Coturnix japonica: one gene and its partners. The protein of the gene in region 2 interacts with the protein of the main gene of each other region in a pairwise test. Links are inferred from orthologs where the notes say so. Each region holds a gene or a part of one and is shown on either strand. Other genes may lie near its edges.

Region 1 (4,358 bases), on a different chromosome or scaffold from region 2:
CTGGAGGTAGCAGGCAAATGGCCGGAGGTTCAGCAGGGGCATGTACTGCACATACTCCAGTGTGTACGGCACGTGCAACACTTGCCTCTCCAGCAGGTTTGTGACCACATGCACAAGCCTCTTCCATTCACCGTGGCTGCACCAAGGGAGGACCTGTATGAGGGCCACCAGGAAGCCTTTGCTGAAGAGATTCACTTCCTCGGGGTTGTCCACGTTGACCATGAGGAGTGAGAGCATCGTCTCTCTGAGCTCAGTGGACACACAGCAGCACTCCATCCATGCCAGCAGTCCACTGCCCGGCCCGTAGGCTGGCAAAGGCTGGGATGTCCATTCATCTTCAGGGAATGTGCAGATCTCAAATAGCGTCGCTGGGACCTCATTCTTGAAGTGGTCTCCATAAAACTTCTTCAGTCGGAGACCAATGGTCCAGTCCAGCGATGCCACCTTCCTGTGAAGCCAGGCCAGAGACTGGACCCAAACCTCTGGGGAGGAGGCAGTTTCTGGAGTCACGACCTCACAGAGCTGGCTGAGGACACTCAGCACCAGGTCTTTGATCTCCAGGGATGGGAAGAGCTGGTCCTTAGGCTGATGCCAGTACTTTGTGTAGCCATCTAGAAGCTTGCAGAGGCTGAGGAGAAGTGGGAACGGGTGGCAGGACTTGATCCAGTGCTCTTCTGGGTAGGACCGTATTCCCAAAACTTTACTGAGGATCTGCAGGCTCAGCTCAATTTGAGCACAGTCTGATTTCAAATAGGGAAGGACAAAAGCTTTGGTCACTTCTGCAGGTGATACGAGTGGGGCAGCTGAACTTGGCTGCAGGAGAAAGGCCAAAAACTCAAGAAACTGTTCCTCCTCCCTTGCAGAGGAAAGCTTTTCCCATGCTGCCTCCTTCAGGCACCGTACCACCAGGCTGCCTGGACCATCATGAGTCTCCAGGAAGCTCAGAGCTGGGAAAGAGCAGAGGATTTGCGCCAGGAACTGATGTGCTCCTAGGTTGACTACAGCAAGACTACAAATCTGCTTCACAGTGGCCTCAGGGTGCAGCAGAGCAAGCCTAGCCACAGCAGCCACAGCCCTGGTAATGCCTTCATCAGATAAGCTTTTAGTGATCTGGTTGAAAGTCACATTGAGGTCCTCCTGGAACCCATCCATGACAACCTGCAAGTTCAGGGAGAGCCCTGGCCCACCCCAAGCCTCCAGGACACCCGAGATCACTTTGTTTTTGTCTGTTAATGGAAGCTCACTGTAACACTCCACAATGGCTTTGATCATTTGCATCTGCATCTCCCGGGCCTCACGGCCTTCACAGGATGTGGCAAAGTTCACCAGAGTCTCCAGCAATTTCCAAACCAGCTCTGGTTTCTGGAAAAGAACCTTGTTTTTCACAAGGCAGTCAACCCAGCCCTTTGAAAAGGCCCAGGTCTTTTCAGAAGCAAAAATGGAGCACACTTCCATGTGCCGGTGCAGCTTTTGCTCAATGATTATCATGGCAACTGAGGATTCAAGGCTGGTGTCCAAATCCTTGTTCTTCTGGGTGGTGCTGATCTCTGTGAGAAAGCCATCAACTGTCTGTGCCAGTTGTAATGCAACACGCATCTCATCCTCACTCAGGTCTCCAGTCTCAGAGAAGCGAACCAGGATCTTCCTGAAGGTGGAAAGAGTATCAAGGAGCCAGTAGCTCTCATAGCATTGATTCTCTGAGCTGTTCAGGACACCCCGCAGCTCCTCTCCCCAGGCACACAACAAGCTGTGAAGAAAGTCCAAGCCAGCTATGAGTTCTTCATGCGACAGCTTGGCCATGGATGAGAAGCTCATGGTCCTCTCAGCTTCCTTCACTTTCTCATCCAGCTCGCTGTGGTGGTGCTGGCTTTCAGTGTCACTGCTCCAGAGGCCGACCACTGAGCTGACCTTGGCCAGGTACTCTGCAACAGGGAGGGGGCTGCCCTGTGGCTTCAGCTCGGTGAACACAGACAGCAGCTCCACCAGGTTGCCCAGGGCGTAGCACTTCATGCGGGGTGAGGTGATGCTGCCGTAGCTTTGCTTTAACCCCTCTATGAGGACCCCAAGCAGGCTGTCTGCAGCAGGAGGGCCATTCAGAGAGCTGGGGTCCCCCTTGAACCTCTTTGGGGGCTGCAAGCCGTCATCCAGAGCGCACTCACAGCCGTGCTCACGCACCAGGGAGCCGAATGCAGCCACCGTGCTGTCCTCCGGATCCGGCTGTTGTCTCAGCGCCTCCCACCACACATCCATGAGCAATGTGACATCCGACGGGGCCGTCTCGTGGCTGACATATTGCACCAGGTGCCGCAGCTCAGCCCGGCTCACGTCGGGGGGCAGCGCCAGCAGTAACTGCACGAAGAGCCGGGGAGCGCCCAGGGCCTTCACCAGCTCGAAGAGAACGGTGCGGTTCACGTCGGGGATCATCGCTCCCACGGAGAAAAAGGCGTCTTCCTTCCACTCCTGGTCCAGGGAGGCGGCGGGCGGGGCGGGCAGAAGCACCTTGGCCCACACGATGGCCACGGCCTCCTTCTTCCACAGCCCGTGCTGCCGCGGTGAAGGGCAGCGGGCCCCGATCTCCCTCAGCGCGTCGGTGATGGGCGGCCCGACGAGCGGCCATTCGGCTTTGAGCAGCTCCCTCAACGGCCGCGGCTGCAGGAGCCTGGAGGCCAGCAGGAAGCCGCCGTGCAGGATGGCGGTCTCCTCGCACACGCCCCACGGCCCGACCCGCTCCCCGCTGCCCGGCTCCATGGCGGCCAACGGAGCAGACAACGCAGCCCGCGCTCCGCTCCGGCAGAGCAGGCGGCCGCCGCGATCCCACAGCGCCCCCTGGCGGAGCGGAGGTGTCTGCCCCCGGCTGGAAGGACGCTGCGCACACAGCCGCGCGGTGCTTCTATTCACATAAAATTGCATAAAATTCACATAAAATTGCATAAAATTCACATAAAAATTTATTCACATCAAGGCTCATTTCCAACAACGGCATCACCGTCAGCACTGATCCGACCCCGACTCATTGACTGCATCAACGCCAAAGCAACACCGGCACGTCGAGAACTGTTCCCATTTAGACTATTCATTGCAGGCATTGCTAATGCTGCTGCTTTTCATCAAGAGATCAATAACGAGCAGCCTGACCGACAGCACCGGGCACTGCAGCTGCTGCTACCACACCAATCTCAGCCCTGCGCTGCAGTCAGGACGGCTACAGCTCATTCATGACAGATCTGGATACTTTAATCAACCTGGCAACTTCTCCTTCAAGTGCAACCGCACTAGGAGGCATTCACCTGCAGCTCCAGCGTTGGAAGCCACGTGCCCAACATCCTCCCTGCTTTACACTCACGTCTGAAGTTGCACCTGATATTTGATTGAAAATAAAGAGGAGCTTGAAATGAAAGAGATACAAGCTGAAAAGGAACCAACAGAACAGCATGGGACGTGACTGAGCCCTCCCATGGGATGGACAGCACAGCTCAGATGAAAACCAAGGCATGATGACCTGCCAGCCCAGCTCCTCCTCCAGCTATGCAGACACCTTCTTCATATTCCGGGCAGCAAACCACGTGTCGCTCTTGTCAGCTGCCATGGCCTGAACAAAGGAAAATAGGAGCATGTTTGGCTGACTCAGCTGCCATTCCAAACACTGAGCTGCCCACTTTCACCACCCTGCCCCACAACAACAGGCTGATTATCAGGCTCTATAATCCAGGGGGAAAGCCAGCCTGATGAAGAAACTGTTTCTTGTATATTAGTAATGAAAACAGGCACTGAAAGCTGCTCTGCTGCAAAGAATATTTGATTCCATGGGCGGCTGTGATCAGGATGAAAACAAAAGACAGATCATTACTTACATCATCCAACAGTTTGCCACCATTGGGATCCACCTTGGACAGATCTCGAAATGCTTCATCTCCCACAAAACAGATTTCATGGCCATCCTAAACCCAATTCAACAGCAGGTCAGGCAGATAAACAGGAAAGAGACATTGATTTTATTACTGTTTCTGATGCTACTCACAGGATCAGCCAAAATGACCACTTGCACTGTAGCTTTGCCAGGTGTGTCCAAGCTAACCAGAGGCGTTAAAATCTTCTGGTTCTCCTTTTTCATCAGTGCTTCAATGTTTGGCAACTTAAAGAGAAAACAAATAACATCAGCCTCAGTCAGGTGAAGCCAGGGCATATTCAGGCTGTTCTCATTTATAGTTTCCTGCTATCTGCAACTTCATTGCATTCCCACTGTGAGAAATGTAAACTAAGGATCTGATCAGCGTTACTTTGATCATCTCTGAGAGATTTGGCTGATAGCAGACAGGTATCTCCTAGTACTCAGCAGGATGATGAGAGGGATAAGGAAA
Region 2 (4,262 bases):
AGAATTCAAAACTTCTGCTTCATCTCAGCTGTTGTGTCTCCCGTGGTCCCCAAGATAACGTCATAGGATAAATTCAGCTTAAAATTACAGCGCACTAGTAACAGTAGAAGGTACTGGCTATTCCCAAAACGTCAAGCTAAAGAGTCCAATCCTGACAGAAACCATTTCAAGGTGTAGAGCGCATCTTTGTGCAAAGCCATCTCCAAGACACCAATCAAATAAACAGTTCCGAAAGCATACACAGAGCAAAGTAGGCCTCACTTCGTTCTGAAGGAATCCCCAGGAAAAACCCGGTTGCTTTTCTTGGATGTTCTTGAGAGTCACACACTTTCAGACAGCATGCAGTAACACGGAACTTTCTTTTTGAAATTAATCTATGGAGGTTTTTTCTTACAGCACTGGGGCTTTTCTTTTTTTTAGGACTAGGGTAAAACATGTCAGCTCTAAGGATGGGGGAAAAAAAAAGCCTAAGATTTACAAACACCCCTCTTCTCCAGCTGATGCTCACTTACAAGGTTGATTTTGTCATCACACCGTGCCAGCATCTTCCAGAATTCAGAATACATCATCTCGTGTTAACTTAAGATAGTCACTATGGATATGCCAGGGTGGATGCTTAAGTACAAACTGCCTACAACTTGTTTGGTCAGTGTGGCAGAGCTTGCCAGCAGGAATGGCCACAGGAACGGCCCAGGGCATTGCCTCAGTTTCTCCTGAAGCCATTAGCTCTGCTTCAGCCCCTATCAGTGCTGTTCTGGGACCTTACTCCTACTGTCTCACAGTTGAAAGTCAGCTGCATTCCCTTGTTTCACAGGGCCCAAGGTTCTAACCTCACATCTGCTTAGCATGTTATTTTCCACAAAGCAACCATCTCCTATCACATGATCTCAGGGGACAACCACGTAAACTTCCATGAAAAACAGCAGGGAGGTACAAAACGGCCCGCTGGAGGTACTGGATCCTTTTGATGGCTACAAATACTCGTAGGAAAATAAAACTTCTTTGAGCTTAATGATGTACTGTGGGCTTTTCTTCTCCATCTCATTGTTTTTTCATGTAGAGTTTAGAAATAAACAATGAGCACACTTAGAAGGAGGAAGTTTTCCACACATGCTTTCTATTAATTTTATTTCCTCCACAGATTTTCTCATAGTTTTACTCACCAACGTTTTCCTTCTGTTCTCATTGAGGAAAACAGGCAGAATTTCCCTCCTTTCCCCACTAGTTGCTACTAAATTTCTGGAAGATCCAGAAGACATTTCATTTTAACATTAAAAAAAAAAAAGAAAGAAAAAGGTTTTTGCAGCAGTGCTGACTGCTGCCAAATAATTATTTAATAATTATAATGAAATATTTCCAAGAGGAAAAAAATCTGTAAAAATACCATGATTTCATTCCATTATAGCCACAACAGGTACAAGCAATGCAAGGAAGTAACCCATAGTGCTGTACAGGTTGGCTGAGAAGGGGTTTTATTCTATTCTTTATTTACTCCAATGAAAAGATGACACTGGAAGATGACATCTGGGGACTGGCTCTCACCTCAGGGATAGAATTCCATGAAGGCCACCTCTCTGCACTACCCAGAGACTGTGAGACCAATGCAGAAGCCAGTGGGTTTGGCCTAGGACAGCTTAATCATGGAATGGCCTGGGTTGAAAAGGACCACAATCATCACCGAGTTTCAACCCCCTGCTATATATGCATGGCAGCCAACCACCAGACCAGGCTGCCCAGAGCCACATCCAGCCTGGCCTTGAATGCCTCCAGGGATGGGGCATCCACAACCTCCTTGGGCAACATGTTCCAGGGCATCACCACCCTCTGCGTGAAAAACTTCCTCCTAATCTCTAACCTAAACCTCCCCTGTCTCAGTTTAAAACCATTCCCCCTTGTCCTATCACTGTCCATCCTCATAAACAGCTGTTCCCCCTCCTGTTTAAACACTCCCTTCAAGTACTGGGAGGCTGCAATGAGGTCTCCTCAGAGCCTTCTTTTCTCCAAGCTAAACAAGCCCAGTTCCCTCAACCTTTCCTCACAGGAGAGCTGCTCCAGCCCTCTGATCATTTTAGCAGCTCTCCTCTGGACCCACTCTAAGAGCTCCACATCCTTCCTGTACTGGGGGCCCCAGGTCTGGACACAGTTGTGGTAGAGCTGGGTAGAGGGGGACAATCACTTCCCTCTCCCTGCTGGCCACCCCTTTTTTAATGCAGCCCAGGATGTAGCTGGATTTCCAGGCTGCAAGCTCACACTGCTGGCTCATGTCCAACTTAATCTTGGATTTGATTTTACTTTGAAAGAAAGAAAAAATGAATCATAATCTCAACTTAAGTATTTGAGAGTCAGGCTCCAGAAGCACATTTGCTAATCCAGCGCTGATAAGGTTAATGAGATCAAAGCCAGACCCCACTGAGTGTTTAACAGAGATGCTTCCTAACATGGGTCAGGGTGACTACAGCTGTGTGTCACAAACACACCGAAATCAGCATCAAGATGACACAGATCAGCCCTTGCTCTGATTACACTCGCTACTCCCACTTTCTGCCTCCCACCGACTCTCTCAGCCCCTATCTTTCCAAACTAAAATCAGTGAGTGTTTGATTTCAGGGCAGAAATTCATACAGTCATCTTCAAACATTGTGTCCGTCTCCTCTCCTCCCCAGCCCCCACTGTTAGGCAGTGAGGGCTCCTTGGGCTCTGCTTCAGGCACTTACCTTCTTATCCAGCAGGCAAACCAAAGTCCAATCCCTTCAATTCTGTGATTCGGCGAAAAACTCAGACCCTCAGCAGTCAAGTATGCAGGGAGCAGCTCTCCCACCATCTTCTTTTAAGTCTCCCCAGCAAGCACGGAGGGGCCTAACAAAGCTCTATGCAGCCAATTGTGTTATCAAGGCACTTGGCACTACCAGCTGACCCTCGATTGCTATTCATCCCTCGGGAAAATAAAACACCCTTTTGTAGTGAAAGTGTAACCGGTTACTATGATGCGTTACATTAACAAAAGCAGCTTTTTACCAAAATTACGGATGATGAAAGCCTGGATGTGGGCTCAGACCAAGGGAACCAGTTGTTTCTACATGTTTCAGACAGCTTAACCAAGATTTCCACGACACTAAGAAGAAAGAGGTGGATGAGTTATGTTACATGTTTGTACAAAAAACAGCAGTGAGTTCTGTAAACCAAATTTCAAGGATTTTCTGTCACAGAGATTTTTTGTGTGGCAGCATCCTGTGCACACCACCGTAATCTCAGTATTCATGGGATCTCTGGTATTTTTGTGCTTTGCTTGAAATCAACACAGAATTTTTTAATATGATTTTCTATTTTTACTTTTTCTTTTCTAGGGGTCCTGCTTATTAAAGAGCATAACCATCTGAAAGATAGAATCTGTAGGGTAGAAGGGTAGAGCTTGCTGATTTGGTGGTGAGGAAGCATGCCAGCACATTCAAGGTTGTATTTGTGTTCTAATCTACTTAAGCACCCCTTGGCCTTCACACCTGCAGCCCTGTTTAGGGATCCCTCACTCTCAAGGCAACAGCTCTCCATTAAAGCTGCGGTGCCCAGGTTTGGGCTGTGGCAGTGCAGCCAGGGGGACATTCACCTGAAAGGAGCCCAATGACTTTGGTCGCCTCACCTTACTGCACCCAACACATCCAGCTCCCAGCTAACACAGCAATCCAAACGCCACGGAGATGCCTCATGCATAACAACGTGAGGCCAAATAGACACAATTCACATCCTCAGCTTTGGGAAAGCTCACTGACAGAGAAGCTGCTTTCCATGGCATTAAGCAGAGAAGGCTGGACGGGAGCAGCTACCCTGTGTGAAACCTGAAGCACTCTCCAGCAGTGTAGAGAAAAGACATGACCTCATTGTTCCACAACCCAGATAATCCATTCCTGGATAAAGCGAGAGACAATGAGTATTTCACCTTGAAGGTTATCAAAGAGTTTGCCACTCTCCATGGAGGCGTTTGCTTCCCCAGACAGGGATGTGAGAACTTCTCTGTGTTAGTGAAAGAGACGAAGCCATCAAGGGGTTGTGGCTGAGACCACACAGCCATGCCACACAGGCACAGGTACTGAGAATGGCAGCATGTCCTGGCCTATTCATGCACACAGGATGGAGGCATGTCTCTCTGAAAGTAATGCCACATATTTGCACAGAAACAACAACAGCTACAAAGAACATAACAACACTATTTGATAGAGCAAATTCTCAGCCACCCTTTTTCAACATAGTCATCACCACCAGTTATGCAT
Region 3 (2,669 bases), on a different chromosome or scaffold from region 2:
TGATCATGACAACAATTAATGTGCAAGAAAGATCAAACTTACAGTGGAAAGGATTTGGAAAACAGCCTCAGATCTCTTGATTGTGTCTATCTTTTATGATTCCCTATTACTCCACATAGCAGAGCTACAGTGAATACTCTCAAGGACATGCACATTTACCACTTGCACTTTCTTTCACTCTGCATCTTCTATTGCAGAACCCAGTTGAATTCACCCCTTATGTTTTTTGGAGGCATTTTAGTATCTTTCTCTTGAACAACACTATCAGATAAAGGCACTGTGATGTAAGCATGCGTCCCTTTCCTGATTTTTATTCATTTTTATTCATTTCAACAAGATCCAACAAAATAACCCTTTATAATCACTCTAGATCTGGAAAAATGGTTGAACAGACTCTTGTTGTTTTTGGCTGAAGACATCATTAGCTGCTAGATGCCTTTTTCCTGCTGAAGGAAAGAGTTTCCCAAATGGATCAAGGTGGAAAGTTTATCCAAGATTAAAAGCCTAAATTTGAAAATGTAGCTTTGTGTTGTTCACAGATGAAGTTCCAAAAGACCCAAAAAAGTCAGAGTTCCTTAGGACTTTTACAAAACAATATTCTTAAGTTTCCTATGAAATCACTGTAGAAAGACCAGAAGTATTTAAAAAGGATTATTTATTAAACATTTTTCTTTACAAAGTACAATCAATGGTTTGCATTAAATTTTGAGTTTTGGTGTTTGCCTGTATGTACACAAAAGCTTGTAACAGAAAATGTGTCTTGGTTTTATACATGGGACACAATAGTGAGTTACCTTCATATTTTGATTCCTACCAACATAAGCAGTTGATAATAACTTCCAGCTTACTGCTTTTTAAACTGAAGATGAAGCAACATTTCCACAGAGTCAGTATTAATCAATGTACTCAGTGATGACAAAGTAGAAATGAATAATCCTTTCTGGGGTTTCCACTGAATATGAACATTTTCTGGCAGGTTACTGGACTATCCTTATGATCCTAAAAATCTTTTTTTTTTTTTTTGCAGTTATAAGATAAGAAGAATTGAGGAGCTAGGTAAGTTTAATAATACCCTATTAGCAGCAGTTGATAGTAAATGCAACATAACATTTGTTTTGTCTGTCATACAAGGACGTGTCCTAGCAGATACTTTCTCTACTTGAACAAAAGTATCTGCATGTATTGTATGTCTTTGGCGAAACAAAACAAAAATAAAGAGACAAAAAGCCATTTATTGTCATGAGTGACTATTGCCATCAGCTAATATGAATGCATTGCTAAAATTAGTGAAGACAGGAAAATGCTGTAAGGTAAATATATACAGAGTTAAAATACATTTCTTATCCACTAGATAGTGATTTTGTGGCACTGTGGTTTTCAGAATATAATGTCTGTTGAGAGCAATGTAATTTTCAGTGCAAGCTAAAGCAAAAATACCTGCCCGCTGTCATAAACATGACAAACAAATCTGGAATGTTCAAAGTTCATCTTCCACTTCTCCAATCTTGAGGCACCTTTAAGACATGGCACTTACTGTAAACCATCTAAAAATTGAGAAAAACAGACACAATAAGCCTGAATCTTCCATAACAACTTTAAAAATCACTGCCAGAGTCACTTGCATACGTAAACGATGCCTGTGTAAGGCTTGCCAGCAAAGCATCTTTCCTGAGAACGGATCTGGGACAATCTCTGTGTATCATAAGTGCGCGTGCTCAGAGCTGTGATCGCTGTCGTGGCTGTCATCATTCGCTAGTGAGTCCCCCGTGTGCTGGAGACCAGCTGCCCCAATGCCAGAGAGCTCAGAGGGGAGTAGCGTGCCTTTTTTCACATTCACCAGTTCCTTTTCCCGGGCTGCTGCCCCTTGCTGGCCTCCTTTTACCCGCTTCCACTTCATCCGTCTGTTCTGGAACCAAACTTTTACCTTTGTAAAAGAAGAAAGGAAAAAAAAGAAAATAGACATGGTGTCACTGAAGGTTGATAACCATCTTCCTAGCTGTACTATAGCCCCGTCTTTTTTGTTAAAAGTACAGCAAGGGCTCCCTGACTGTCAAGAGATCAAATTTGGGATGGAATGAGTGCCCTGGGGATGTAAGGATAATGACTGCATGGGATGGAAAAGAGTTACAGCAAGAAGGCTGCAGGCCCAGCTGCAATATGCATCACTGCTGTCATACCCTCAATGGGAAGACCTCAGAGCCCTTTAGAAAAAACTGCAAATTCAACATGCTCTTGAAAAATGCATTAATGCCATTCCACATATAAAGAAACAGAGACACAACTGAACCCACAAGGGACTGAACAGAAGAACCCAGCTCCTGGGTAGCCCAGTGTGGTGTGCTACTTATAATGCTTTTCTAATTACATTTTAAAGGAAGCTAACTACTTCAGAGAGGAACTTCCACTGAAAAAATTTCAGTGTTTTTTGTCAACTAGTGGTTTTGAGTGGAGCACTGTAAAAGTTTTTTCCTTTCAATTTGCTGAAGCAAAGTGACTGAAAGAGTATTTCTTACAGTAAAACTTATGACTTCCCTATATTACAAAAATGTTTAAATAAACTTAGTTGATAAGTCCTTAATTCTACTCCATTTATTCACATTTTTCACACAAATAAACACCCACAAAGGCAGACAGCAAAGCAGTTATAAATCTGAATCAAAATCAGCACA

What was found.
Region 1: the proteins of SPRY1 (region 2) and GEMIN4 interact in binary tests that used the Homo sapiens proteins (3 or more experiments, as listed by UniProt). The link is inferred for Coturnix japonica from reciprocal best matches to the Homo sapiens genes SPRY1 and GEMIN4.
Region 3: the proteins of SPRY1 (region 2) and MEOX2 interact in binary tests that used the Homo sapiens proteins (3 or more experiments, as listed by UniProt). The two-hybrid records come from large-scale screens. The link is inferred for Coturnix japonica from reciprocal best matches to the Homo sapiens genes SPRY1 and MEOX2.

What each region holds. Positions count from the first base shown.
Region 1 is NC_029534.1:5,681,764-5,686,121, reverse strand, and holds the start of GEMIN4 (gem-associated protein 4), read right to left. Parts: upstream 2,945-4,358; 5' UTR 2,932-2,944; coding exon 1-2,931. Other genes in the region: GLOD4 (glyoxalase domain-containing protein 4), read right to left, coding at 3,524-3,589, 3,852-3,938, 4,019-4,132. UniProt on the Homo sapiens protein: The SMN complex catalyzes the assembly of small nuclear ribonucleoproteins (snRNPs), the building blocks of the spliceosome, and thereby plays an important role in the splicing of cellular pre-mRNAs.
Region 2 is NC_029519.1:47,745,977-47,750,238, forward strand, and holds the start of SPRY1 (protein sprouty homolog 1), read right to left. Parts: upstream 2,832-4,262; 5' UTR 2,715-2,831; intron 1-2,714. UniProt on the Homo sapiens protein: Inhibits fibroblast growth factor (FGF)-induced retinal lens fiber differentiation, probably by inhibiting FGF-mediated phosphorylation of ERK1/2. Inhibits TGFB-induced epithelial-to-mesenchymal transition in lens epithelial cells.
Region 3 is NC_029517.1:25,705,316-25,707,984, forward strand, and holds the end of MEOX2 (homeobox protein MOX-2), read right to left. Parts: intron 1,925-2,669; coding exon 1,700-1,924; 3' UTR 639-1,699; downstream 1-638. UniProt on the Homo sapiens protein: Mesodermal transcription factor that plays a key role in somitogenesis and somitogenesis and limb muscle differentiation. Required during limb development for normal appendicular muscle formation and for the normal regulation of myogenic genes.